5 linked regions of the Oryctolagus cuniculus genome follow. The main gene of each other region encodes a partner of the protein of the gene in region 2 in a complex. Links are inferred from orthologs where the notes say so. Each region holds a gene or a part of one and is shown on either strand. Other genes may lie near its edges.

The links.
Region 1: STRN (region 2) and STK25 share a complex: the UniProt entries of both Homo sapiens proteins name them as parts of the core of STRIPAK complex. The link is inferred for Oryctolagus cuniculus from reciprocal best matches to the Homo sapiens genes STRN and STK25.
Region 3: STRN (region 2) and STRIP2 share a complex: the UniProt entries of both Homo sapiens proteins name them as parts of the core of STRIPAK complex. The link is inferred for Oryctolagus cuniculus from reciprocal best matches to the Homo sapiens genes STRN and STRIP2.
Region 4: STRN (region 2) and STK24 share a complex: the UniProt entries of both Homo sapiens proteins name them as parts of the core of STRIPAK complex. The link is inferred for Oryctolagus cuniculus from reciprocal best matches to the Homo sapiens genes STRN and STK24.
Region 5: STRN (region 2) and STRIP1 share a complex: the UniProt entries of both Homo sapiens proteins name them as parts of the core of STRIPAK complex. The link is inferred for Oryctolagus cuniculus from reciprocal best matches to the Homo sapiens genes STRN and STRIP1.

What each region holds. Positions count from the first base shown.
Region 1 is NC_091434.1:278,615-284,397, reverse strand, and holds the start of STK25 (serine/threonine-protein kinase 25), read right to left. Parts: upstream 4,016-5,783; 5' UTR 3,857-4,015; exon of another isoform or gene 3,795-3,856; intron 3,676-3,794; 5' UTR 3,619-3,675; coding exon 3,589-3,618; intron 189-3,588; coding exon 1-188. UniProt on the Homo sapiens protein: Oxidant stress-activated serine/threonine kinase that may play a role in the response to environmental stress.
Region 2 is NC_091433.1:165,857,450-165,863,492, reverse strand, and holds the start of STRN (striatin), read right to left. Parts: upstream 3,447-6,043; coding exon 3,213-3,446; intron 1-3,212. UniProt on the Homo sapiens protein: Calmodulin-binding scaffolding protein which is the center of the striatin-interacting phosphatase and kinase (STRIPAK) complexes.
Region 3 is NC_091434.1:165,646,718-165,652,033, reverse strand, and holds part of STRIP2 (striatin-interacting protein 2), read right to left. Parts: intron 2,972-5,316; coding exon 2,897-2,971; intron 1,934-2,896; coding exon 1,799-1,933; intron 551-1,798; coding exon 430-550; intron 1-429. UniProt on the Homo sapiens protein: Plays a role in the regulation of cell morphology and cytoskeletal organization. Required in the control of cell shape. Calmodulin-binding scaffolding protein which is the center of the striatin-interacting phosphatase and kinase (STRIPAK) complexes.
Region 4 is NC_091440.1:13,995,179-14,001,292, reverse strand, and holds the start of STK24 (serine/threonine-protein kinase 24), read right to left. Parts: upstream 3,343-6,114; 5' UTR 3,253-3,342; coding exon 2,944-3,252; intron 2,283-2,943; exon of another isoform or gene 1,771-2,282; coding exon of another isoform or gene 1,729-1,770; intron 1-1,728. UniProt on the Homo sapiens protein: Serine/threonine-protein kinase that acts on both serine and threonine residues and promotes apoptosis in response to stress stimuli and caspase activation.
Region 5 is NC_091438.1:60,285,181-60,290,496, reverse strand, and holds part of STRIP1 (striatin-interacting protein 1), read left to right. Parts: intron 1-682; coding exon 683-752; intron 753-1,926; coding exon 1,927-2,001; intron 2,002-2,390; coding exon 2,391-2,525; intron 2,526-2,626; coding exon 2,627-2,747; intron 2,748-3,901; coding exon 3,902-3,970; intron 3,971-4,922; coding exon 4,923-5,029; intron 5,030-5,137; coding exon 5,138-5,265; intron 5,266-5,316. UniProt on the Homo sapiens protein: Plays a role in the regulation of cell morphology and cytoskeletal organization. Required in the cortical actin filament dynamics and cell shape. Part of the striatin-interacting phosphatase and kinase (STRIPAK) complexes.

The sequences.
Region 1 (5,783 bases), on a different chromosome or scaffold from region 2:
CACTGGCTGAGCACGGTGATCTCCTGCTGGATGTCCTCGATCTCGTCCTCCGCCTCCTCCAGGTCGATGATCTTGATGGCCACCACCTCCTTGGTGTGGTTGTCGATGCCCTTGTACACCTCCCCGAACGAGCCCTTGCCGATGCGGTCCAGCTTGGTGAACAGCTCCTCGGGGTCCACGCGGGGGTGCTGCAGGGCCCAAGGGACAGGGTGGGCAACGCCGGTCAGGGGCTGGACAGGCAGAGGCTCCCCGGGGGACACACCTCAGGGACCTGCAGCAGGCACGGGGCAGTCCTTTTCTGGTTTTATCTTTTACCTTTTTTGTTCAGAAAACTACAATTCCCTCTCCTTGTAAGGCAGCAGCTCCTCAGGGAAAGACACAGAGCACCTGGGACCATGTCCACAGCTGTGCAAGATACCAGCAGGTCAGCACCCCCAGGAGGCAGGCAGGGATGCAGGGACTCTATCACCCCAAAACCATTCCTACAAAATGCCACCTAAGGCCTGGCTCTGTGGTGCAGCGGGTTAAGCCATCGCCTGTGACGCCAGCATCCCCTATGAACACGGGTTCCCGTCCTGACTACTCCAATTCCGATCTAGCTCCCTGCCAACGTGCCTGGAAAAGCAGCGGAAGATGACCCAAGTGCTTGGGCCTCTGCCACCCCGAAAGAGATCTGGATGGAGCTCCACCTCCTGGCTTCAGCCTAGCCCAGCCCCAGGCATGGCAGCCATCTGGGGAGTGAACCAGAGGACGGAAGACCCCCGTTTCTCCCCCTCTCTCTGTAACCCTGCCTTTCAAATAAACTCATAGATCTAAAAACATATTCATACAATCTATTAAGAACAACAGAACCCAACCTGTGGTGATGAGACCCTACATCACAGCCACAGCCCCTGGAGGACTTCCCCACCCCGGAACCAGGGTCACACCAGCAGAGTCCAGCACTGGCCTTTCTCAGAAGCCTGAGTCCAGGTACTCCAACTCCACAGACGCTGACCACATGGTCCTCGGGTTTAAGCAGGCAAGACGTCAGGGTCACCAGGCTCTGGTGGGGGAGGCGCCAGGTCTGCAGCCCAGGTCGCAGAGGCTGGCAGAGGGGTCCTCGGCATAAACCACCCTCTTAAGTTTGAGCCTGGGCCACCCCAGGAGCATCATCACAGCACCTCCCACGGCCAGGGTCACTCTGGGTGTCCCCCAGCCACTGCCCAGAGACCCTGGGCTCCTGAGAACACCATGCTCCAGCCACCAAGCGCTGACCAACCTCAGAAACACGGCCGGCCGAGGGTGAAGGGCAGCCCCCATACCCCAGGATCCTAGTGGCTTGCTGCCCCACAGGGGAACCTGTAGAGGTGGGAGTGGGGTTAAGGCCCTGAGTGTCATCAAGACAGAATTTTCCTTTTTTTTTTTTAAGATTTATTTTTATTTATTTGAAAGGCAGAGTTAGAGAGAGACAGAGATCTGCAGCTTCACTCCCCAAATGCCCACAACGGCCAGTGCTGGGCCAGGCCAAACCCGGAAGCCAGGAGCATCTTCCGGTCTCCAAGCCCTTGCGCCATCCTCCACTGCTTTCCCAGGCCATAGCAGGGAGCTGGATACGAAGTGGAGCAGCCAGGACTCCAACTGGCACCCACGTGGGATGCCAGCACTGCGGGCGGCGGCCCCAAGGCAAGCCCAGCCGAGTCTCCGCACCAGGAGGGGCACCACCCCCATGACAGTGTCTCAGTGCCCACTTCTCACCAAGTCCAGAAAACATGGCCAGCTCCCAGGTGAGGGCAGCCAGGGCTGGGCGGGCTCAGCGCCTCCTCCCCGGAGCAGAGCACCAGTCATGGGTGCTGGGCCCGCAGGGTGCTGCTCTAGGCTCACGCCACGTTTCAGCTGAGCCTGAGCACCCTCTCCAGGGTTTGTAACCACAGGGCAGGAGGGGCGATCACCCAGGCCCAGGCCTACGAGACCGCCTCACAGTGTCCCTGACCCCGGCTGGGAGCCAGGCTCTGGGGAGACAGGAACTTGAGGACAGCGGAGCTGAGCCCCGGGCGGCGCAGACACAGCAGCGGGGCTGCAAGGACAGGGCAGCGCCGGCCACTTAATCCACCCGAACCAGGCCTGGGGTGACAGCCAGAGCAGCTGCCCCAGGCAGGCCAGCTGCAGACCACACACACCCTAACCCAGTTAACCGGCTTGGACACATAAGGCAAAGTGGCCAGAACTGGCAGACGGGTCCCAAGGCCTGTGGCCATGGATGAGCCCAGGGGATGCTCAGGGCCAGCCTGCTGCCAGGAGACCCCAAAGCCAAGGCTGAGGATCAGCAAGGACAAAGTCCGGTCCTGCCCAGGCTGCACGGGCCAGGCGAGCTGCGTTTACCCCAGCCTCTCCTCTCCTGCTGACCAGGTTCTAGAAACAGAAGCCAGGAAACTCACGGTGTGTGACACGTCACACCTGCTCCACTGCCCTCAGGGTGCTGCGGGCGAGAGCCCACGAGAGCCCAGCCCGCCGGAGCAGGTGCCCAAGTCCTGGACACAGCAGCCCTCAGACCACTGACGGGCAGGCGGCCACTCTCCTGTCGCAGAGAGCTCATCACCTACCTCCAGGGCTTTGGGGAGACGCGTTCCCCCAGGCTGCCTGGCACAGCCCCATCCTGGTGGCTCAGCGGCTCTGGCTCAGGCCCTGAGCTGGCGTCCTCCTGTCACTCTACAGTCCACCGCCTTCGAGGCTGGCCCGAGACAGACCTAGAGGCCCAGCAGCATCTCTGGGTACCACCTCACTCCGCTGACAGCCTGGCCAACGCAGCGCCCGACACAGCCCCTGAGCCAGGGCTGAGCAGGCAAGGTGCAAGTCCCTGCCCCCAGGCCCCTCCTGGTGTGCCCACCGCCACGGCAGCCAGCCTGAGCAGCAAGAGCGTGACAAGGACCTGCCACTGCAGCCCAGGGACAGCCCACGCCCAACCGCCCTGGGAAGAGGAACACAGGGGTCCTCTTCGGGAGGGGCTGCGGGGTAGGCCACGCAGCCTGGGCCCTCTGCCCCAACGTGTCTGCTGCTCACGCCGCACAACAGAGGCCCGAAGCCCCCCGACACCCCAGCTGCGGCCTGAGCTCGCACCTCCGCACCGTTCCTGCCCACGGGGCCCGGGGGCCACACCAGCCTGGTCAGCCCTGCGGGATGGCAAAGGGGCCCCGAAAAGGCCAAACGACGCCTCCCACCTCGGGGTCCCCTCTCCGCGCCCCCGCCAGCCCTGCTCCTGCGCTTCTAACAGGTGAGCAGGTTTTTCTCTCGACATCCTCGCCACGTAACCTGCAGGCCCAAACGTCAAAGACGAAGCAGGGACCCCGGCCGCCGCCTTCCCCCGACCGGCTCCCGTCGCGGGCGGACGCGCTTCCTGTCCACGCCTCGCCACGGTCCGGCCGGCGCTCGCCCCGCGCCGCGCCCTGGGCGAAGCGTTGGCACCTGCGGGTGCGGGAAAGCGCGAAGCAGGCGCGACGGGCGGCCGCACGGTCACCTCCGCAGCCGCGACAGCGGAGGGCGGGGAGCGCGGCGGGGACACCCGGGAGGCGGAACGACCCCCGACCGCGCCGCCGTGCCGCCCCTCCTCACCTGGCTGGCAAATCCCCTCAGGTGCGCCATGGTCCGCGCCGCGCTCCGCCCGGCCGTCGGCGACCCCGGCGCGCTCGCGTCAGTCCCCTGTGGGGACGGCGGCAGTCAGGGCCCCGGGAGCGCCGCCCGGCCCCGGCCCCGGCCCCGGCCCCCGCCCCGCCCGGCCCCAACCGCCCGGGCGCGGCCCCGCCCGGCAGCGCGCCCACCTCCGGGGGGCTCCATCCCGGCCTCCCCCGGCCCGCGCCGCAGCGCCCGCGAAGGCTCCCACCCGCAGCCTCCGTCCGCCCGGGAACGCCCGGGCTGGCCCGCGTAGCGGCGGCGGCGGCGGCGGTAGCCGAGAAACCCCAGGGGCAGCGGAGGCGGCGGCGACGAGGGCGGCGAGGTCGTCGTGGCCGGCGCGCGGCTCCCTGGGACTCCGAGTCCCGCTGTCCACCCCGCGCCCTGGACCCGCGGGCGCCGGACTACAAGTCCCGGCAGGCCGCGCGACGGGCGGCATCGAGGCGCCGGCGCTGGACTGCAAGTCCCGGCAGGCCTTGCATCGAGCGGCGTCGAGGCGCTGGTGCGCCGCGGGGCCCGCCGGGACTGCGAGTCCCGCTCGGAGGGCCTCGGGCTGCTTCTCCGGCCAGGCGCCCCCGCACGGCGTGCCTAGGGCGGGCAGGCGGACGCGCGTGCGATCGCCGTGAGGCCGCTACTCTGCTGGTCCCGGTCAGCGTGCGGCGCTGGAGGCTGGGCGCTGCGTTCCGCCACTCTGCTCGTGAGCGGGCCGTTCCGGCCCTAGGGCCCTGCAGGGAGCCCACTGCGAGCCCTCCGCTCCCGGCCGGCCCCTCTGGGCGCCCGGCCCTGCCCTCTGCGCAGCCCTTCGCGGGGTCCTGACTTGACGCGGTCCGCGGCGGGCACTGGGAGGTGGCGTGAGGGGCCGTGTGGCCTGTGTCGTCACCCCTGCTCGTTTAGCAGCACCTGGGGGGACCTTGCGGGCCGGGGTCCTGCCCCGGCCGCCGTCCGGCGGGGTCACGCAGTGGGCTTGAACTTGGCCGCATCTGTGCTTGTTCTCAGCTCACTGCCTCGGCCGGCTTCTGGTATGTTCCATCGTGTCTGGTGAGAAACTGGACCGGCGAGGACGTGAAGCGGCTGAGAGTGCTCTGCCAGGGACGTCTCCGCCCGGTTTGGGTCAGGGTCTCAGGTCCAAGCCAAAGAAATCTTAACGGAGCGGATCCCAGAGTTGAAAGATTGCAGCTCTGAGCTCTTCGTAAGGGGACCGCAAGGAACGGTGGGCGAGGCAGACCGTCCGAGATGCGGTCACAGTCAGCGCTTCTCACCGCGGAGCAGGGCCGGAACGCGGGAAAAGCCCAACAGCCAGGAGCACCCATCAGGGTGAGAGAGAGAGAGAGAGAGAGAGAGAGAGAGAGAGAGGTCTTCCTTCTGCTGGTTCACTCCCCAGTTGGCTACAACGGCCGGAGCTGCGCTGATCCGGAGCCAGGAGCTTTCTCCAGGCCTCCCAGGACTTGGGCCATCTTCCACTGCCTTCCCAGGCCACAGCAGAGAGCTGGATTGGAAGAGGAGCAGCCGGGACTTGAGCCGGCGCCCACATGGGATGCTGGTACTGCAAGCGGCAGCTCTACCCACTATGCCACAGCACTGGCCACTAGACTTTATTTATTTAAGGGACAGAAAGCTCCCATCCACTAGTTCATTGCCCAGATACCCGCAACCGCCAGGACTGGGCCAGGCTCAAGGTGGCTGGAAGCCGAGAACTCTGGGCTGCCCATGTGGGTGTCAGGGCCCAACTACATGGCCATCACCTGCTACCTTCCAAGGCCTCCATTTGCAAGAAGCTAGAGTGGGAAGCAGTCGGGAATTGAATCCAAGCACTGGACAGAGGATGTGGTTGTCTGCACCACTAGGACAAATGCCTACCCCTGGTGTGTTTTGTTCTAATATTTATTTGCAAGGCAGAGGGAGAAGGAGAGACAGAGAGAGGTCTTCCATCCGCTGGTTCACTTCTCAAATGGCAGCAACAGCCAGAGCTGGGCCAGGCTGAAGGCAGGAGCCAGGAGCTTCACTGGGGTCTCCCACATGGGTGGCAGGAACGCAAGTACTCGATCCGCCATCTGCTGCTCCTGGCTGCATTGGAAGGAAGATGGATTGGAAGTGCAGGCGGGAGGCGTCCAGGCAATGGCTTCATCGCTGCGCCAATT
Region 2 (6,043 bases):
AGCTCTCTGCTGTGGCCAGGGAGTGCAGTGGAGGATGGCCCAAGTACTTGGGCCCTGCACCCCATGGGAGACCAGGAGAAGTACCTGGCTCCTGGCTACGGATCAGCGCGGTGCGCCATTGGAGGGTGAACCAACAGCAAAGGAAGACCTTTCTCTCTGTCTCTCTCTCACTGTCCACTCTGCCTGTAAAAAAAAAAAAAAAAAAAAAAAAAAAAAGGTAGTGTTCAAGGGATGGCATTTAGCCTAGCAGTTAAAATGCCAGTTAAGATAAACATGTCTCACATCAGAGGGCCTGGGTTCAATTCCTGGCTCCAGCTCTTGGTCTCAGCTTCCTGCTCATGCAGACCCTAGAAGGCAATAGTAAAGACTCAAGTACTGGGTTCCTAACACCCACACAGGAGTTCCTGATTCCAGGTTTCAGCCCTCACCCAGCCCTCAGGCATCTGAGAAATGAGCCAGGTGGTGAGGAATCTCTAGCTCAAATAAATAAGCAAATAAAGTAGTGCACCAATGAGAAACTTACATTAAATGTAACATGTGTGGGCAAAAAACTGAAGACTGACTACAGTTACAGATAAAGTGAAAAGCTTAAATATGAATGGAGTGAGTGAGCAGAAGACAAGGTGGGTTAGAAGACCCCAAACTTCTACAGAGAGGAAGGTTAGCATTGTTCTCTCCTTTGTTTTTGTTCAAATTAGTGTAACTTACATTCCCTACATTGGAAAAGGAACTGAAATCTAAGGATCTACATACAAAAATAATTTCCTACAACTGGGTAACATTAAAAGTCAAACTTTAGGGGTCACCTTTATGGCGTGACAGGTAAAGACACCACCTATGACATCAGCATCCCATATGGGCGCTGATTCTTGTCCCGGTTGCTCCACTTCCAATCCAGCTCCTTGCAAATAGACTGGGAGAAGTAGCAAAAGATGGCCCAAATGTTTGGGCCCCTGCCACCCACATGGGAGACCCAGATGAAGCTCTTGGCTTTGGCCTGGCCCAGCCCTGGGTGCAGCAGGTATCTGAGGAGTGAACCAACGGATGGAAGATCACTTTTTCTGTCTTTCCCCTTCTCTCTGTAACTCTGACTTTCAAATAAATAGATAAATCTTAACTTTGGGGTGGGCGTGCAGCACAATGCAGTTAAGTCACTACTTGGGACACCATTTCCCCTGCTTCAAATTCAACTTCCTGCTAATACACACCTTGTGAGTACTTGGCTCAAGTACTTGGGTGCCTGCCACTCATGCTGAAGACTGGGATTGAGTTCTGGGATACTGGCTTCAGTCTGGTCCAGCCCTGGCTATTGTAGGCACTTGGAGAGTGAACCAGCAGATGGAAGATTTGTCTCTGTGTCTCTCAAAAAAAAAAAATGAAAAATGTTTGTTTTAAAGAAAGTCACACCTAGTCTTTAATACTTCTTTGAAGCCTGAAATCCACAAGCTCATTTATAGAATACACAGCGAAAAAGGTAAATGCATAAACATTCGAATGTGTTGGGTACCACAGAGACATGGCCATAACCATGAGAAAACTTACAAATACCAACAGACCAGCTTTTAAAGCAACATGCCAGTAGGGATGAAAACACAGCCAAAACATATAAACACATAACCATAGACATATAGACTGACAAGGAATTACAGAAACTATGTGTCATTCCTGACTTCATTCAACCACTCATCTCTCACCTCCCAGAGGCCTCACCTAAAGCGCCGACCTAAAGCAGCATTCTCCACCACTCTATTCTTGTACCCTGATGGATTTCTCCTCTCAGCAGTTCCCACAATAGGCCATTATATTATATGGTTTCATTTGCTGATCAGTTGCCTTCCAACTAAACAGAAACTCCGTGAGGGCAGAAGCTTCCTGAGTTTCGTTCATCTCAGAGCCTCCAGACATATAGCTGGTTCTCAATTAACACGTGTTGAATAAACAAGGGGTGAAACTGAAGCCCAGAGAGGTTAAAAGATTTCCCCAAGGTCACAGAACTGGCAGCAAACACAGCCCTCACTAGAACCCAACCCAATGGAACCCTGTTGGCTCTTTGCACAGCCAGTGCCACTCCAGCGAAGTAGCCTATCCCAGCACACGATGGTGTTGGACAGATTTCTCCCCTCCTTTTTCTTTTTCAGGACCAAAGAAATACATGTTACCAAAAAAAAAAAAAAAAAAGTGACACAATGGACAGCATTCTACCTTCAAGTGTTTCAAAAACCAAGACCATACTCAAATCTCCTAAGGGTACAGGATCATCTTGTAAGAGACAGACACAACCCCTCATGGTCTTCCCAATTCCTCCTGAAACTGGCGGCTGCCTTGCAAGTTTTAAGAACAGCCACTGAAAACCTACTTACAACTCAGCATGCCCTGTAAAGTATCAGCCTCGCTTTCATTCTCCCGAGAGCCCACAATAGCTCCTCCCTGGATAGACTCCTACTTTATCTCGCAGATTATGCAAGGCAATGTTCCTATCAGTGAAGCCCCTTCAGTTCCTTCCAAACTACAACCCAATCTCACAAAATACTAAACATGAAATAAACCCTCGAGAAGTTGCAGCTTTCCAACAAGAACCATCTCTGGACCATCAGCTCGCTGATCATCTCAGTCCCTCATTCAAAATCCAGGAATCTGCAATACGGGGCCGGGGGGCGGGGGGCAGGGGGAGAAGAAACATACACGTGTAGACAAGGCGGCTGATATTTCTAACAACACTTTTGCCCAAAGTCAGCTTCTAGCCCAAAGTCAAGGCCTCACTGACACAACTTCTGTCGCCTTCCTTGCAGAGAGAGGCGCCAACGGCCAGTCCCTTTTGCAGAGACCTCGGATGGGACACACTAGCCCAGACGATGACTTGCTCAGCGTCTCCCAAAACTACTGTCAGCTCCTTCAGGACACTGCACGGGAAGCCCTCAGGTGCGGGGCGGCAAGAGAGTTGAAACGAGACTGGGAGTTAAGAGTGGGAAGCAGCCGACGAGAAGGAGCGGGGAGGGTAAACAACACATCAGGAGCGGGAGAACCGCGGGGAAAGAAGTGGGGACAGCGACAGGCAAAGGTGAAGGGAGCGAGGGGACGAGGCTCCGGGTGGGATGGGCGGGAGCAAAGGGGGAAGGGACGGGAGAGGACTGGGGGAGGGGGCGACGGTCCGGGGCGGGGCGGAAGGGAGCGAAGAGGCGGGATGAAGAGGGCCAGGCCGGGAGGGTCTTTACCTGCAGCTCCGCCCGCTCCACCTCCCACTGGGCTCTCTCCACCTCGAAGCGGGCCCACTCGTGCTGCAGGAAGTGCAGGATCCCCGGGAGGCTGTACTGGGCTCGAGCCGCCCCCGCCGCAGCCGCCCCGTCGCCGGCCGCGGCAGCCTCTGCCAGAGGCCCGAGCCCCTTGGCACCGCCGGCGCCCGGGTGGTTGTTGCCGAAAAAGACGCCGGGACCCGCCTGCTCGTCCATGGCGGCCGCAGAAACCCGGGGAGCTGCCCAGGCGCCCAGCAGCGGAGGCAACGGTGGCGGCCAGCAGTGCCTCCTCCTCCCTCCGCCGCTCCCCGCCCACACCCCAGTCAGCAGGGAGCAGCCGCCTGGGCGCGGGGGCCGGCCGAGCCCGTGACGGGCCGGGAAATGGGTCAACTGCGGCGCGCGGGCGGCCCGGGGCTTGCTGGGAAATGTAGTCCCGGGGCGGGGCGCGGGCGCGCGCGCGGTCCCGGCGGCCTGTGGGGCTTCGCCTCGGCTCGGGCGTGGCGGCGGCCCCGCCCCCGGCCCGCGGAAGCGCGGGTTTCCTCTGGCGCTGGCGACCTGGCGCGGGCCGGCGACGCTCCGTTCGTGCTGGCACGCGGAAGTCGTCCTCGTCTTCGAGCGGCGCTCCCCGCGGCGCGCGCGCGCGCGCGCACACACACACACACACACACACACGCGGAAGTTGTTATCACGCCAGGAGACAGACCCGGGCCGTACATCTTGAGGGCTTCCTGGCCGTCTTTGAAGAAGCCGGTCGGCCGCGGGTCCGGTGCCCTGGACTCGGACTTGGCGGTTTCGGACCCGCCAGACCTGCGGGGGTGCGCGTCGCCGCCGCCCCTGGCTTTTTCACTGGAGGGCTGCAGACCTGTTGCCTGAGTTTTCCCAAGTGACGGGCTCTGATCCCCTTCCCCGCTCCCTGGGCTCTGCGCGCGGCAGCTCTCGGCTGCGTTTTCCACCTCTGAGAAGCTGCTCCGCCGCCGTCAATCCTGTAAAAAGTTGTTGCCAGTGACTTCCTATCTTATCCCCAGTAAGGATAAGTTTTTAACTCAGTTCGATGGAAGAGGGATTTCGATTGTCGGTTCTCTCCCGCACTGGGGATATAAAGATAGATGACACAGTTCCTGTCATCTAAGGGAGACTGGCATATATTTAATCAAGTCTCACCGAGCCTTAAAGCTACACTACCTAAAAGAACAAGTTTTTTGGTTTTTTTCCCTCCCTCTCTCCAGAGCTGTCTTACCCACGCACCTCTTCATGTTCACTTATCCGGTTGTCAGGGTGGGTTTTGTTTTTTTTTTTTTTTACTACGTTTCACCTGCTAACTGGCAACAGGATCATCCTACCAAAGGCACACCCATGTCCTTCCCTTTGGAGTGACATCTGTAAATGTTTTCCTTCTCTGATGTCCCTGATTTTATGTCACTTTAAACTCACATTATAACATGGAAGAAAGGAAGGCGCTTGGAAACAATCCATAACAAGGGAAAAGGAAACGAGACACTTAATATTGTTACCCGAACAAGTTATTTGTAATCCTTCTGTTGTGTGGAATAAACTTACAGGCTATATCAGGCCTCGTGGCCGTGAAAAAAATGTAAAGATGTAGACTGCTGAGTGACATGTTAGGGAAGGACATCCTGTCCTTGTCCTCTCTCCCCTCCCCCCTTCCATGGCCACTCCTAGAAAGGACAGGAAACACATTGTATCTGCTCTGGTTGCAAATAAAGATGGCAAGCTCACTTCTAGCTACTGAACGTTTCCGCTCTCTGAATTCATTCTTTATTATCATAAAGGTTGATGCAGACATGGCTAAATTCCCTGTCATAAATTATTTTGGCTGCAAGTATCCTTTGAGATTATAGTCCAATCATCTCATTTATGGTTCAAAAACTAAAGTCCAAAGAAATTTAAACTTCACAATGAGTCCTTGAGTGAGAGGAAGAGCCAAAACTGGCACTCAGATTTCCTGGCAGTTAGTTCAGTGAAATCTTCATGAGCAGGTTGATTTCTTAGTTCTAAACCCACCAGAGTACCAACAAGACAATAATGCCCCAATGACATCTTTTTTCATCTGAGGGATTTATGTAATCTTAGAAGTCTGAATGTTAACAGCAGTTTTTTTTCTGATAGAACACTTGTCTGACAATTCCTTTAATTCATTAGCAGACTATAAAACAAATTGATAGATAATATGAACTCAATCACACATATACAAAAGCACCTCTTAAATTCATAGGTCTTTTTTTTTTTTTTTTTTTTTGGACAGGCAGAGTGGACAGTGAAAGAGAGAGAGAGACAGAGAGAAAGGTCTTCTTTTTGCTGTTGGTTCACCCTCCAATGGCTGCCACAGTGGGCGCGCTGTGGCTGGCGCACCGCGCTGATCCGAAGCTGGGAGCCAGGTACTTCTCCTGGTCTCCCATGGGGTGCAGGGCCCAAGCACTTGGGCCATCCTCCACTGCACTCCCTGGCCATAGCAGAGAGCTGGCCTGGAAGAGGGGCAACCGGGACAGAATCCGGCGCCCCGACCGGGACTAGAACCCGGTGTGCCGGCGCCGCAAGGCGGAGGATTAGTCTAGTGAGCCGCAGCACCGGCCCATAGGTCATTATTATAACCCGCAATACCTTTTTGCTGTTCAAAGACTTATTTACACTCAAAATAGTGTTGAGGATATGTGCCATGAAGCCATTCTGTACACCAAAATATTAAGATGGGTCATGGTAAGAAAGAAGTATGAAGCAATGCATATACTTTTCACCTTTTCCAAAAGTGTTCATGTGTAATCAAATTTCTTTTGTAATTTAACAAAAATATTACT
Region 3 (5,316 bases), on a different chromosome or scaffold from region 2:
ATATATATATATATATATATATATATATAAAGCCAATGAGGGACAGAATTGAGCACAATGGCAAAAATTGGTCCTGTCCCTTTTGGGTCATGCTGACAGGCAGAAGTGTTTTTTTCATGGATTGCAGAGTGAGGCTGAGCTGAGAAGGTGTGTGGATGAAAAAGAACCACCCAGGAGAGGGCCCTTGGAACCCGGGACTGAAGCTACAAGTGGGTTAGACTGGGAGGAGCCCAACCTCAGGCAGGCAGGGCAGAGTATCAGGGCACATGGGCTGCTGCATGGAGGAGGAGCTGGCAATGAGCTTCGGGCTGAGATATGAGTAGATCCAGCTCTCCCAGGGCTTCTTTACAGTGAGGGAACCCGTGCAGGACATGAGGTCCCTGCGAGGAAGGGTACGGTCTAGGCCAGCCCTCCCCATATGCTTCTCACTCGATTTCCACGTGCAGTAGCTCCAGGAAGGCCGAGAAGGTCCCCATCTGGTAGAGCAGGAAGCAGTTGTACCTGGACCAGTGTAGCACATCCACCTCTGAATCACATTCCCCAAAAGAGCCTAAAGGACCAGACAGTTGCCACAGGGGTTGGGGGAAGGCAGGTACCCCAAGTACCCCAGTTCTTTCTACCCATACTTTTGTCTAATGCCCAGATCAATAATTAAGCTGACAGAGAAGGGCCGGGCCCTTGAGAAATTCCTGGAAGGAGTCAGGGAGAGGAGAGGCAATCGCCAGGGTTAGGTCCAAGGTGCTCATCAATGAGCCTTAAATCTGGGTTCCTCCAGAATCGAATCCTGGGGTAAAGATTCAAGTGCAAGTAGTTCATTTGGGAATTGAACCCAGGAATCATCAATAGAGAAGTAGGGAAGTGAGGCAAGGGGAAGAAGGCAGTCAGTGGAGTTCATCCTAGGGAAAACTGGAAACAGTATAAAGCACACGACTCGGGTCATCCCATCCGAGAGGACTGAGGTCGTCGCACTATTCGTCCAGTAACTCCTGTCAGTTATTGGATGAGGGCTGCTTAACTAGCTTCCTGTACTTCCGGTTGCTCGCTGTGGGCTGGGCACTGGCAGTTGGAAGCTGGCCAGAGCACCAGATCTAAGAGACACGGGTGAGCAAAGCCAGTGTCCACCTTCTTTCCTTTCCACCTGTTTTCTTCTTTTACAAAATTTTAAGCTCCCAGCTGGCAGACTGTGCCGGCAATCCTCACATTTATGATCTCAGGCCTTATTCACTATCCCAGCGAGGCTATCTCATTTCCCTTTCTTACGCCTGGCTAGCAGCTCTCTGCTGGCAGCTTTCTCCAATTAGCCTCATTTAATTCTGATCATCTTCACACTGCTCACCGCATCTACTCCTGCTGCCATGTTGGCTTGAACCTTCACAGTGCCAATGAGAAACACCGCAGCGGGTCCATGTGCGAGGAGAGGCGGTGACACTCCCCTGCCTGCCCTCAGTGTAGAGGCCAGGCCACAGCTGATGAAAGACGTCTCTACGCTCAGCTGATGGTACTCGGGCAGCTTTAGCCGCAGTGACCCTCTTGCTGCTCCTCACATAGGATTATGGCCCCTAAGAGAAATCCTGACCCTCTTGGTAAGATAAAGGCAGATCCCAAGGGATCCAGGACAGCATCCAACACCATCTCCTCATCTTCTCGTCAGCACAGGTGAATCCTAGTGCACGGTGAGAGCAGTCCTTCAGAGGCAGGGGGTTGGCTTTCACAGCATTAGCTGCCTCATCCCAGCCCTGACAATGCCACTTCCCTCCCCGGCTTCCACCCTCTCAAGCTAGCAAGGTGGTTCACTCACCCTGAGCCAGGTAGAGGACAGCTCGGGCCACCTTCAGTCGCCGCTCCCTACTGACCACCTCCAGCCGGTCCAGAAGTCCCATCACATAAGCCTTTTGGGCATCTTCTTCCAACTCCAGCCATTCCTTGTTTTGCACTGGGGACAGAACACAACACACATCCAGTGCCGGCTCCTGCCACCCTTTCCTGGAAAGGCTCCTGATAGCACACCCGCCTCTGCTCTCAGGCCCCAACAAATTCTTCTTTCTAAAAGCTGTTCTTATGTAGCTGAGAAAGAATAGGGATGGGAAAAGGGTCCAAAATACTGCAGCCTGAATCCATTGTGTAGCTTCCTCTTCTTCAACAGTCCCTCCGTGCCCCACACACAGCTTATACTGCTTTGTCTCTGCCTCTCCTCAAGGAGTTCCCTCTGTCCCCTGACATGTCCAGTGCCCAGTCAGCCTTGCAGGCCTGATACAAATGACCTCTTTCTTATTCTCACAGGCCTAATGCAAAGTTGCCTCTTTCCTACTCAGGTCCCTGGCAAAATCTCTGCTCCCGAGACACCTTCTCCACTTTTCTAGGATGCTTACCACTTTCCTCTGGGCCTCGGCTAGCATTGTGATGGGCACAACTCCTTTCTGCTGTCAGGCTACCAATCCTGTGTACAAGCTGCACTCTGCATTCTCTGATACAGAGCAGATACCAACCACACATTTGCTGAATTAAAAACTGAATTGCCACTGCCCAGCTAGGGCAACAGGGCATGGGCATGTGAAATTGCGACTGAGTGTGGGGCAGAGTTGGAGGCAGAGGTTGAGCCTTCAAGTCAAGAACTAGGCTTGGCACCAGGACCTGTCAGGCAGCAGGGGAATGGCCCAGCTCTGTCCCAATAGCCCTCTGCTCTCCTGGTAAACGGGGCTCAGATCAGGCTTCTTTTGCTTCTACCCTTGGTCTCTACACTTGAGATGCAATGACTCCTGTGTCCTGTGTGCAAGAAGGGAAGGGTGAACGGTTTAAGTGGCTGAAGGATCCTACTTTGTCTTAGCGTTTTACTAGATCAGATTGGGACACTGTAGAGGCAAAAATCAAGCCCCTGTAAGTAAGGGTCTCGCATCACCTTGAGTCTTGAAATCTTCTTCAAAGCACCTCCTGTTCGTGGTGAATTCCAGGTTCTCGGTGTAGCTATACAATTCTGTGGCAAGAAAGACAGAACAGAGTCACGTTCAGGAGACCCCAAAAGGAAGGGCCTGGGGTGGAGAGGGCAGCATGAAAGAGTTGAAGCTTCTAATGCATTCCCGTGTCCAACTCAGCCAGCTTCCTCCCTTTTGGAACAGTTAAAAATAGCCACTTGTGTCCCTGGGTGATTAAACCATCAAACCTGTCCTCCTCCTGCCAGCTGGCTCTTGCAGTGGAGAAGGGAGGCTTCAGCATTCGGGGAGCGCCAGGAGGAGAGGTGGGGCACAGAGGGCTTAATGTCATCGCTCCTGTTTCTCAGGGCTGCGACCCCTTCTGCTTTGTTAAAGCAGACTGGGATTATCTTATCTCGAGGGAACGGGAGTGCAAAACAACCCCTGAAATTCAGTGGTAAGATCCTTGTGCTATTTAGTAAGTCAGGGTGAAGGCTAAAGAGTCCATTCTAGATACTCTTCAGGGTTGGAGTCAGTTCATTCTCTCCCTGCTGAATTTCCATGAAGGGCATAAAAGTTCAGGCTTGTGCCCACGGCTGCCCACTCAGAGAGCAGCTGTGGTTGCTATACGGCTGCTGTGCACCGGAAAGCCTAACTTGGCCGATAGCAGCCTCTCCACACAAAATGCAGAAAGCTGATAAGAAACAAACAAAAAATGCCCTTTCCTACACACACAGAGAGAAAGAGAGAGATCTCAGAGCATTATGTCTGTACCCTCATATTGCAGATTTTTTAAGAGTTGAAATCAATAATCCAGATCTTTATTCCCCCCGTGCCCTAAGACTTTTCCTATAAATGTAACCAGGTCACAGACAGATCCCAAAACAAGAAAAATTCACTTATGTTCCAGCCAGCTGTCTCATGGTGGAGAAACACCCTTTTCTGGAAGTCAGGGTTTTTGGGTTCTGAGTTCCAGAATCTTGGGAGTGATCAGAAACAAATAATTTCTCTGAACCTTAAATACTTCAGTCATAGTGGAGAATGTGAACATGTATGTTTTAAGAGAGAACACAGGGGCCGGTGCTGTGGCATAGCAGGTAAGGCCACCGCCTGTAGAGTCAGCATCCCACATGGGCACTGGTTCGATCCCAGCTGTTCCACTTCTGATCTAGCTTCCTTCTAATGCGCTTGGGAAAGAAGCAGAGATAGCCCGAGACCCAAAGGAGGCTCCTGGTTCCTGACTTACGATTGGCCCAGTTTCAACTGATGGAGCAGCCATTTGGGGAATGAACCAGTGGATGGAAGACCTCTGTCTCTCTCTGCTGCTGTCTCTCTGCAACTGTGCCTTTCAAATAAATAAATAAATCTCAAAAAAAAAAAAAAAAAAAAAAAAAGGTATAGCACAAACCCAGTCAGAAAAGTGAGCCAGGGCTCTTGGATACTGAACTTTGGTTTTGTTCTTTTTATTTGTCTTTTAAATTTTGGATTGTGAATTTTCAGATATGGGTAAGTACAGAATACATAAGACACCTGTGTATCTACCCAGACCGAACAATGTTTTTGTCATACTTGTTTGCTGGCCTATCTTCTTCCTTTCTCTAGAGGGAACCGCTCTAACGAGATCAGTGGGTATCCCTCATATGCCCATTTTTATATTTTTACTACATATGTTTATGCCTGTAAACAACACATGATGTTTTTCACTTTTTTTATTTAAAAAAAGATTTATGTATTTATTTACTTGAAAGGTAGAGTTACAGAGAGACAGAAACAGAGAGAAAGAGAGGTCTTCCATCTGCTGGTTCATTCCTCAAATGGCCGGAGCTGAGCCTATCTGAAGCCAGGAGCCAGGAGTTTCTTCTTCTAGGTCTCCCACACAGGTGCAGGGGCCCAAGGACTTGGGGCAACTTCCACTGCTGTTATCCACTTCTGAAAACTTTTATCCAGGACCAGCGCTGTAGCATAGTGGGTAAAGCTGCTGCCTGTAGTGCTAGCATCCCATAAGGGCATCAGTTTGAGTCCCGGCTGCTCCACTTCAGATCCAGCTCCTTGTGATGGCCTGGGAAAGCAGTAGAAGATGGTCCAAGTCCTTGGGCCTCTGTACCCACGTGGGAGACCTAGAAGAAGCTCCTGGCTCCTGACTTCGGATGGGCCCAGATACAGCCATTGTGGCCATCTGGGGAGTGAACCAGTGGAGGGAAGACCTCTCTCTCTCTCTCTCTCTCTGCCTTTCTGTAACTCTCTGCCTCTCAAATAAATAAATAAAATCTTAAAACAAAACAAAACAAAACAAAAAAAACCTTTTATCCAAGCAGCATCACATTGTGTAAATTCTTTTGTGCCTGCTTCTTCCTCCAACTTGGTTTTTAGCATTTATTGACATTGAAGCATGTAGATACAGATCAGATAT
Region 4 (6,114 bases), on a different chromosome or scaffold from region 2:
GAACTGGCTTCAGCCCGACGCACCAGCAGGCAGTACCGTCTGCAGCCACTCTCACACCTCTGCCGCTCAAACACAGGAAGATGCTCTTCTTCTCTACTGAGAACTTTTACTCATCTTTCATTCTGAGAAAGCAAAATAAAAAGTTCCCTAGTAACACCACCTGGCAAAGGCACCGTACTGGGGAGGCGGCAATGGTTTCAAAACAAAAATTTGCTTTTTTTCCCAAGATTTAAACATTTGGGCCCACTCTAAGGGTGGGGGGGGGGGGGAGTAAGAGACCAAGCAGTGACCAGACACTGAGTTCCCAGCACCAGCCGAGGGGCTTCAGGTACCTTTCCGGATGGCACTGAGACAATCTGTGGTTACAGCCCGTGTAACACAGGGCAACAATCTAAAGGTAAATCGCATTTTTTAACATTACAAGAGGTCTTCTTACTCTACTAGTCAGAAACTCTTTTTCACCCTGTTCACCCTGACCTTGATGCCTTGAACGTTCAAACCAAAGCAGGAGTGTTAGGAAACACCCCCCGCCCCATCAGATTTTTACCTAGTGGTCAGCAGAAACTCACATCGCACGTTAAAGAGCTCTCAATGAGATTCAAAAAACACACTCTGGCACCCGCCCATCCTAAGATAGTTTGTTACTCCTAAAAAAAAAAAATTGCCTGAAATTCTGGCTACCACTGAAGTGGTGACACTGAGCTCCTATTTTGCTAGATTTCAAACCTGAACAATGAAATCAGGCTTTCTTGCTATGGTTTTCGGGGGACAGGGGGATGGTTTCCAATGGAGGAGGAGCAGAGGTCCAGGGGCGATCCTCAGCCCTCCCCTCCATGTCTACAAAATAACAAAAAATCTTTTTTTTTTTTTTTTTTTTTGGCCGATCTCCGGAAGCTCGTGCGTTCTCCCGCCCGGCTGGGCTGTCCGGGAAAAAACAAAACTTCAGGGGCACACTGCACAGCAACGCGAGGCTGGAACCCGCATCGCGCCGCCACCCTTTACCGACGTGCTCACGGACATGACAAGTTGGCTCGCGATGGGGGTTTCACTTTTTTTTTTTCCAAGAGCTAGAAACATAGTCACCTACGGAGGAAAAACTTGGAAGGCGTTCGCGACCATCGAAAATCCAACGCCTCCCCCCACTTCACCCCCCAAAAAAGGGGACCGCTAGGCCAAGCAGCCACAAAGCACCAACAGCCAGGTCCACGGCGCGGAACTCCTCTAAATCCCACCAAGTCGCCAAGTGGAACTCCAGCGCCGGGCCAGGGGCCTGCGCCAGGCCGGGGGCCCGCACCTTCCCGCACCGCGCCCTGTCCGCGCGCCGGCGCCCCTCCCTCCGCCCGCCGCCCGAGGAGCCGAGCCCCGCGCGGGCCCGGGGGGCCTCCACCGCCCCCGCGCCGCCCGGGGCCTCCAAGGGCACGTCTTCCCCTCCCGTCTCCCCCGGCGCGGGGCCGCCGCAGGCCCTGCACTGCTCAGGACTTGGGGGCCAGGCGCCGGTGCCCCACATCCGCACCCAGGCCTCGGTGCACCCCCCACCCCGCGCGCCCCGCCACACATCCACACCCGGCCGCCGCGGCCCGCGAGCAGCCCCGGGAGTAGGGCCCGAACCCCGGCCGACGCGACCCCGGAAGGGAGAGCCTGGGGGGGGGGGGCCCTGTTTACACCGCCAAGTTGCCCGCTTCCGCCCCAGCCCCGCATCCCCAGTCCCTGAGGCCCGCGGCTGCCTACCTGCATGCCGGGCAGGCCCGACTGCACCGGGGAGTGAGCCATGGCGCGCAGGACGTCCACTTCCTGGGACGGGACGGCCGGGCCGCGGCGATCCGCGCGGGCGACCAGGCCCGCGGGCCGCGCCGGATCCCGAGGCCACCCCAGCCCCGGCGGGTCCCGGCAGCCGGCGGAGCTCAGCGACGGGCGCCGGGCCGCGTCTCCATGCACGGCGCCCACACGGGGCGCGGGGGGCCGAGCGCGAGCCGCCGCCGCTGCCGCCGCTGCTTCTCGGCGGGAGCCGGGCGGCCTGGGCCCGCACGTACTCGCCGCCTGGACCCGGAGTGGGCGCGCACCACCGGCGGAGCCCGCGAGCGCCGAGAGCGCCCCGCCCCGGCCCGGCCCCCGCGCCCGCCCCCGCGGCCCGGCCGGGGACCCCGCCCCGCGCTTCCGGGAGGCGGAGGAGGGGAGAGGGAGGAAGAGGAGGAGGCCCGGCGGCCGCCCGGGCGCCCTAGGCCGCAGGCGCCGCGCCGCCGCCTGCCGGCCGGGCCTGCATCCCAGCGGCTCCCGCGCGCGCTCCCACGCCCCCCGGGGGGCGGTGCCGCGCCGCGAGGGCGTCCGCCGGGGCGCGAGCGGGTCGGAGCCCCGCGAGCCGGCTCGGGCGCTGAGGCGATCCCGGGCCGCCCGGCCGCCGCTGCACTGTGCCCGCGCCCCGGGCGGCCTTCCTAGACGGGGGCTGGGCCCGGGGCTGCTCCCGCAGGCCGCGGCGGAGCTTCTGCGGCGTGTGAGGAAGTTTCCGACCGCCCGGAGGCCGGGGCGGCGACTGTATGCCGGGCGTTTGCTGACTGAACGCGGTGCCGGCAGCGCGGCTGCGAGGAGCGAGCGGGGAGGGCCTGCGGGCCGCCCGCCGAGCCGGAGGAAGCGGCGTGCGGACTTTGCCCCGCGCCTCTCCGGGCCGGGAGTGCCCGTTCTGCCCGCTGGCTGTGCGAGGTGAGGCGGCCACAGCGAGCCCCCAGAGGCCGCAGGACGCGGTAAGCAGAGTCCGAGGTGTCGCAGCACCGCACCCCTGCTTGTGCTGGGAGCCCCGGGAGACCTCAGGCCGCCTTCCTGGCTGTCACAGGGACACTGCTCACTTACAGAGAAGCCGGGGCGGTGACTCTGGGGAGGATGTGACAAATACAAGGCAGAAAAGCAGCCGCTTACGAGCTTACCTAAATTCTGTACCGCTAAGAAACGTACCTCGGGAGAAGAGCCAAACCAGAAGGAACGTGCACTCTTCGAGGGCCCGTCGTGTTCAGCCTGGGAATTCCACCCAAAGTGACACAGCCTGAGGAAATGACTAGAACGTATCGAAAGCTGCAGCGAAGTGGCATTTAGAATCCTGGGGAATCTACCGTGGAAAACCCTAACAGATGCAGTAAACAGTGTTTTCGTTACGTACTCACTGAAGAAAACGTAGGAACCAAAACAATGCACAGGCACTTCAGAAAGTTCATGAAAAATGGAATTAAGGGGTATTTGTATGTTGCATAAGGTTTTGAAATCCATGCTGGTTTTTCATAATACACATTGTAAACTTTTTAAAAGGCCCTTTGTGTAGTTTGATTTCAAGCTACTGCATATAAATTAATTTTAGAAACGTGTGTGTGTGTGTGTGTGTATTAGTAGAGAAAAACCTAGAAGTATATGCACCAAAATTTAGCTGTCTGGAATTAAAGATGATTTTTCTGGTCACTAATCAGAGCCAGAGGAGACCATCGTGCTGAGATACAAATGGACAGTAACATCAGAGCACTGATCTGAAGCAATACCATGGGAAATGCTCAGAAATTGTGAGGATGTGAAATGAGGGGTAGAAGACACTGGACCATAATATTCCAGATATAAAAAATAATCAGAATAATATTTGTATACCAGGGCTAGTGAGACTAGGAACATACGGGTTCCCAGTGGATGTGGCTTATCTGGACATGGTCTGAGACTTGCATCCTTTAGCTGATCTATCTCCTGTTCTCTGTTTATCTCAGTTTTTCTTCTTTGACCATTGAGTTCCATTCTCACTGAACAAGAAGAATGCTCATAGAAGTAACAAGTTCTTCTCAGTCCTATGCAGGCATCAACCAGTGTTTACAGAACTGTAGGTCTCTGGCTGCTTTGTCTTCCCAGAACACTGATGATTGACAAGGCCTGAGTCAGGAACAGTTCTGTGCGGTTTTGCATTCGATCATTACACTTTATTTTTTTTTCCAAAAGACACCCTTTATTCATTGAGTACACATTTTATAAGCACAACTTTAGGAATATACTGATTCTTCCCACCATCCCACCCTCCCCCCCCCCCCCGACTCCCATTACACTTTTTTGTGCACTTGTTGCATTCAGACATCAGTTCAGCATAGGGCATCTAAACAGGACTAGATCCCCAGGTGCTTGTGATCCCATCCTGGAAATCTAGTCTCACTATCCTAACTTTGGAAGTTTACAGTACCATAATTGATGGCACGTAGAGTGACAACAGGGTCACTTCCAGGGCCGGCGCTGTAGGAAGCAGTAAAGCTGGTTTGGGTCCCGGCTGCTCCACTTCCAATCTAGGTCTCTGCTATGCTATGGCCTGGGAAAGCAGTAGAGGATGGCCCAAGTCCTTGGGCCCCTGCACCCACGTGGGAGATCCAGAGGAAACTCCTGGCTTTGGATGGGCCCAGCTCCTGCCATTGCAGCCACTTAGGGAGTAAACCAGCAGATGGAAGTCTTCACTTGCTTGCCCTCTCTGCCTCTGCCTCTCTGTAACTCTGCCTTTCAAATAAATAAATAAATCTTTAAAAAAAAAAAATCACTTCTACCAAGGAAAGAAAAGGACCATCCTCTCACACTTTTCCTCTCATCACTCTCCCTCCACCCCTAATAAATAATTACAACAGATCATTTACTACTGTAATTCCAAAAAGAATTTGAGGGTCTCCATAGAGATTATATGTTCTCTTGTCTCCATGGAGATACTAACCTATTGTTTTCATCCCCTGGCCCTCTTTGTCTTTTGTGTTCACTTACAGGACATGAGTTGGGTAAAGAGTTGTGCTCTGACATGTATTCTGGACCACAAAAGACATTTCCATGTCCCTACATGGAGCCCCTCCAACCAGAGAGCCCCTGTGGATTGACTTCCCCTAAGCCAGTTGCTAGTCTCAGCTGAGCTCAAAGCTTGCAGCAGAAAACAAGACTTCAACAATCAATCCCTTCACTTCTCTGGCTCTGAGTTGAAAAGATAAACACCCCCAAATGCCACTTGATAAAGAACAGCTAGACAAGTAGCACATTTGCAATTTAAATTTGCAGATTAAAGAAAGGGACTTGCATGGTGAACTTTAAAAGGAGAAATATGAGTAGCTCAGATAAGTAACAGAAGGCTTGAAGAATTTCTACACATGTTCAATAGGTGAAGACAAATTATTAACATCAGCATAAAGAAGTACATCAAGAATCATCGGATGACATGACAGCAAGAAAATACAGTTTAAAGGCCTAGGGGGATTTCCCAGCACATTGAGAAATGGTGACAACAGGGTTTTGTTCTGTGAGTGCAGAGCTCAGAGGACAGGCTCTCTTGGAGACCTCACTCTCAGTCAGCCTTTGGTTGTACCTTGCTTGCTAGGGCAGCTGTAACAAAGACCCACCAACTGGGTGTCTTACACCACAAATGTGTACCTCCTCACATTGGCAGAGGCTGGAAGTCAGGTCACAGTGTCAGCAAGGGCTGATTTCTTCTGAGGCCTCCCTCCTTGCAAGTGGCTGCTGCTCATCTGGTCTGTCTGTGGTTATCTGTGCCCTAAACCCCTCTGCATACAAGGAGACCAATAATAATGGGTTGGGGCCTACTCTGGTTGTTCTTCCTGAACTTGACTGCTTTGGAGTCATGTGTAGTCACATTTGGAGGCACTGGGGTTTAGGACTTCCTCATGAATTTGAGAGAGGGACACAGGTTAGCTCTTTTTTCTTTTTTTTCTTTTCTTTTTTTTTTTTTTTTTTTTTTTGACAGGCAGAGTGGACAGTGAGAGAGAGAGACAGAGAGAAAGGTCTTCTTTTTGCCGTTGGTTCACCCTCCAATGGCCACCACGGCCGGCACACTGCAGGACTAGAACCTGATGTGCCGGCGCCGCAAGACGGAGGATTAGCCTAGTGAGCCGCGGTGCCGGCTGCAGGTTAGCTCTTCACTATATATGAGTTTGGTCACCCGCATCACTGGTTCCTACAGGCTCAGCTCCAGGACTGCTTTCTCCTCTCACAAGGCCCTTGGGCCTGCTGCACACTTCACATTTTTGCACAAGAGACATTTCTTCATATTTCCTTGGGCGTAGTCCCTAAACTTTATCTTGCATAGAAACCAGAGCAATAACCTCCAATTATTGGATGACT
Region 5 (5,316 bases), on a different chromosome or scaffold from region 2:
GCAGAGCTCTTGTTGTAGATGTTACCTAAGACTGAGGGTGGGAACCGCTCTCTTCACCACTCTGCTATCGCGAGGCCTACAGGACGGTGTGTTCTGGGTAATCACCTGTGCCCAGCAGTGAAAAGGGTCTGTCGCATTCTCCTGTGTGTGGGAGGCGGGCCCATCTGTTTGCTGCCTTCTCTGTCAGTTCTCACTGCAGTTTGAGACAAGGGCGAGAGACTAAGAGTTTGAATGCTGGGTTGATAGCCCACTAGCTGCCTAGATTCTGGAATCCTAGCACTTTGTGGAATAGTGGCTTCAGGGCACAACGTACTTGGAAGCTTTGTGTTCGTTCATTTGAGAGGGATTTGAATATAAAGCAGTGGAGGACTGTGCTGGGCATTGTGAAATCGCTGCTGATCAACGTGGACTGACTTCCTGCTTTCAAGGGCCTTGCAGTCTCGTGGCGAGGTGGAAACTGGACCCCACATGCAGTAGTTACAGGCGCTCTGGAGGGACAGGATAAGGTGCTCTGAGACGGCTTGGTGGGGAGGAGCGCGGGGCTAGCCCAGGAGACGAAATATGGTGATCGAACAGCAAGCAAAGGGGAGGCAGTGGTTTCCTGGGAACAGTGGTGGCTCTGGGTGCATTTCTGTTTCCTGCTTTGTAAAGTACGCGTAACGCTGTCTCCTTTTGTCAACAGGGCTACTCCGAGTCACCAGACCTTGAGTTTGAATATGCTGACACAGACAAGTGGGCCGCAGAGCTGTCGGGTAAAGCACAGTCCTTTTGTCATCTGGGGGCAGTTTTCTCCATATTGGTCTTTACGGAGATTTACAATGTGTATCATTTTGGAATCATTTTTTCCTTAGTTGTATCAGTGATACACACACACACATATGTATGCATACATATATGTGAATAGTATGTTATTTTGTTTAAGTTTTGTGTACCTTGAAACTGGGTTCGATCGTTCTTTTGTTTGTTCTCTTTCTCTCTTTCATTTGTTTTTTCTCTCTTCCTTCCTTTTTTTAGATGTATTAATTTATTTGAAAGGCAAAATTACAGAGAGAGAGGGAAAGACAGAAAAAGAGAGGTCTTTGATCTGCTGGTTCACTCCCCAAATGGCCACAATGGCAAGGGCTAGGCCAGGCCAAAGCCAAGAGCCTGGAACTTCATCCAGGTCTCCCACGTGAGTGCCGGGGCCCAAGCACTTGGGCCATCCTCTGCTGCTCTCCCAGGCACATTAGCAGGGAGCTGGATCAGAAATGGAGCAGCTGAGACACAAACTGTCACTCGTATGGGATGCCAGCGTTGTAGGCAATGGCTTAACCTGCTAGGCCTCAACGCCAGCCCTGTTCTTTACTTTTCTGAAACATCTCTGTATTCAGCTCAGTTGGCTAGGGCCTAGTCCCAGGGTGACATGGTAATGTTCCTTGGCCATACACTGTCCCCCAGCAGTCGCCTCCCATACAGTAGTGTGTCATGGGAGATACCAGCAAACACGCCTGCATGTGTGCAGATCTGCCATTGCCACAGCCACTCCTGTGTGACCTAAGTCCAATGTGAGCTGCTTCTCCAGCCTCCATACTCCCGGGTCAGTTGGCAGGTAGCACTGGGGAGACAGTTTCAAGGTGGCGCTCACCTCTGGCATGGCATGGCGTGGCGTGGCGTGGCATGGTGGATCGGTGCGTATCAGATGGAAGTGCCTGTATTTATGCTTCTCCGGTGTCCTGGATTTCAGCTGCAGGGGGAGTCAGCATTCTCTGCATTACATACCCGAGCGCCCTAAGACACCCCCACCCCGAGTGATTAGCATAGGCCAGGAGTCGACGGGTGCAGGGGCAGAGTTGGTCCCGGAAGCACACACCTGACCTTGCTGGCTACTTGGGAGTCCCCTGGGGAAGCAGGTGTGGAGCTGCTGTGACGAGACTCTGTTCTTGACAGAGCTTTACAGCTACACGGAAGGACCGGAATTCCTGATGAACAGAAAATGCTTCGAGGAAGACTTCAGGACTCATGGTGAGGTGGTTTCCTGATTTCTTGGCTCATCACCGGCGTTGCAAGAGCTCCAGTTTCTCTTAGTCATCTGGATGACCTAAGTCATCCTGGAATGGCCCGAGAAACCTGTTGGACCGACTTGTTCCAGGCCGGGTGCAGCACGTAGAGTCGCCTTGTGGGCCTTTGCTGGCGGCTTTTCAGAATGTGAGCACTGGGGAAGAATCTGTGTGACTGTAGTGTTTGGGTCAGGAAGTTCCGATTCATAGAGCAGCAGTCGGACCTTGCCCCTTCCACAGAGTCACCGGTCTTTCCACCCCTATGGCAATCCTGAATTTGGTGGATCAACAGCGGGTCTCTTCCATTGTGAGCATTTTTCTAGGCTCAGGTATCACTGGTGTCTTGCCCTGCAGTGACAGACAAAAAGTGGACCGAGCTGGACACCAACCAGCACCGAACCCATGCCATGAGGCTCTTGGATGGCTTGGAAGTCACTGCCAGGGAGAAGAGACTCAAGGTGGCTCGAGCAATTCTCTACGTTGCCCAAGGTACTGGGTGGGCCTCGCCTGGGTCCCCTGGCGCCTCTGCCAGTGACGTCGCCCAGTCAGACGTGGGGGTGGGCTTGGCGAGCATTGCCGTGTGTTGGCAGGCACCTTTGGCGAGTGCAGCTCGGAGGCAGAGGTGCAGTTCTGGATGCGCTACAACATCTTTCTGCTGCTGGAGGTGGGCACGTTCAACGCCTTGGTGGAGCTTCTGAACATGGAAATAGAGTGAGCACTTCTGCGGGGCTTGAGTAGGGAGGCGAGGGCAGGGCTGGACGGAGGACCGTCTGTAGAACACACTGGCTTTGAAGGGGTTAAACGGGCCACTTGGGCTGAGGGTTTCCCCCCAGGCTCTGTTCTCACCTCTGGGGTTTCATAATTGGAAGCTGCCACCATTAGGGACCAACCCTAATGCCTGCAGCTCCCTAAAGCCAGCAGCGCCTTCAAGTCAGGCAGTGCCCGTGCCAGGCCTCTGGTGCCCCTCAAAAGAAGCTCTGCATTTGAGCCCTCTTTTGCTCCTGCTGACTCCATTTTGTTTGCTCTGCAGTTTTGCCCTCAGCAGGAGGCCAGAACCCAGTGTGACATGTGGTGGGCTCAACCTCAGCCTTGTCTGGCAGGTGTCACCGCCGGCGCCTTGTTTGATAGACAGGTTGGCTGTGCTCGTGTGAGGATAGCGTCATCAGGGATAAGCGCTAAGCACACTCGCCGAGTGCCTCTGTGTCCCAGGCATTGTTTGAAGGAGACTGTAGATCTAATTCATGCTAATGACATGGGTCCTGGGTCCTGTGTCACTCCCAATTTAGAGGAAACTGAGGCACAGGGCAGTTCAGTACCTTGCCCAAGGTTGCATAGCTCGTAAGTGCTGGAGCCAGGATTCAAACCTTGCAGTCTGGTCCAGGCCTGAGCTGGTGGGCTTTTTGTTTGTTTGTTTGTTTTAAGATGTATTTATTTATTTGAAAGGCAAAGTTACAGAGAAAGAGAGGGAGAGACAAAGATCTATCCACTAGGTCACACCCCAGATGGCTGCAATGGCCAGGGCTGGGCCAGGCCAAAGCCAGGAGCCAGAAACTTCCTCAGGTGTCCCACATGGGGGGAGGGGCCTGAACACCTGGGCCATTTTCCACTGCTTTCCCAGGCGCATTATCAGGGGGCTGGATCAGAACCAAAGCAGCCCGGACATGAACCGGCGCCCATGTGGGATACCGGCAGTGAAGGCGGTGGCTTAACCTGCTATGCCACAGCACCGGCCCCACTGTGCCGCGTGGCCTCTTGTGCCGCCTTAGCACATGTCACAGCCCTGTGGTCCCCCACTGGGTGGGACTTGTTGAGGGCATCACTCCGCCTGGCTGGGCCAAGTGCTGACTCTCGAGTCTCCTTTGCAGCAACAGCGCCGCGTGCAGCAGTGCCGTGAGGAAGCCCGCCATCTCCCTGGCGGACAGCACAGACCTGAGGTGAGCAAGGGCGGGCCTGGGCTCTCCTGGCAGGGCCGGCTCTGGGCGGTGCCTTTGGTTTCCTCGTTGAGTATGCGTCCCTTCTGCACATGCAGACCTGCAGGTGTCTCAGGTCGGATGGGCTCAGTGTGATTGATGAGTGGGCCTTGCTGAGGACCCTACCTCGGTGGGGCTCTGGGTTGAGACTCCCAAAGGAAAGCCAGGGTCGAGGCGCTTCTTGGAGCCTCAGAGAAGTGTGGGCCTGCTGCGGAGGACTTGCTGGTGGGTGTTTTGTATTTGCGTGTTGCATGTTGCGCCTTGGCCCCCCACTTTGCGGCCGGCCCAGCTGGAGCCCCATCTACCTGACTGAGCCTGCCAGCTTCGTAATGGGTCATGGATGCAAGGGACTGGTAGCGGCTGCCGGACAGCAGATCGCGTTGCCGTCCTTGAGGGTTGGAGCCTGGCTCTGTGAATGTGGAGGTTGTCCGGGCGGGGCGCTTGTGGTGTCCCTGATGTAGTTAGAGTTCTCTTCGCGCTTCCCGCCCTGTCACGGTAAACGCTGTCCTTGCTCTCCCCGGGACTGTCCTGTGTTGACCCTCAGAGCTCACTCCCGTTTCTGGGTTTGTTTTCTCTTGCCGGGAAGCCTGTGGCAGTCAGTGCTTTTGGCCATTCTTGTTCAAAGTCACTCGTTGAGCAGCCTTTGAATAGGCACCTGCTTTGAGTGAGCACATTGTTAGGCGCTGGAGAGAGAAAACAGAGTAAGCTCTGGTCCCCCAGCCAGCACAGCGGGAAACGGTGACGGAAACACCGGGAGGGGAGAGTGAAGCCTGCCTTTGCTCCGGGGGCCTCTCAGCTCTCCCCTTTCTGTTCTCGGTGTTCCCTGTATTATCCCACGTGAGCTGGGATGAAGGAAGCCAGGGCTGCTCCCTAGATTCCCCAGCCTACTCCTTTATGAACTGGCTCTCGTCCCCAGGGTCCTGCTCAACATCATGTACCTGATCGTGGAGACCGTGCACCAGGAGTGCGAGGGCGACAAGGCTGAGTGGAGGGCCGTGCGACAGACCTTCAGAGCCGAGCTGGGTAGGACCCTCGGGGTCTCCTTCGGGCCCGGTCTGGAGCTGAGTCTGGGAAGCTTTGGGAAGGTTTGGAGCTGCTGCGGTCGTCCTGATCCCTTTTTGTCACCCCTAGGCTCCCCACTGTACAACAATGAGCCATTTGCCATCATGCTGTTTGGGATGGTGACCAAATTTTGCAGTGGCCACGCCCCTCATTTCCCGATGAAGAAAGTTCTTTTGCTGCTCTGGAAGACCGTATTGGTGAGCACCTGGTTGCAAGGAACTCAGGCAGTAAGGGGTTGGACGGGGGTG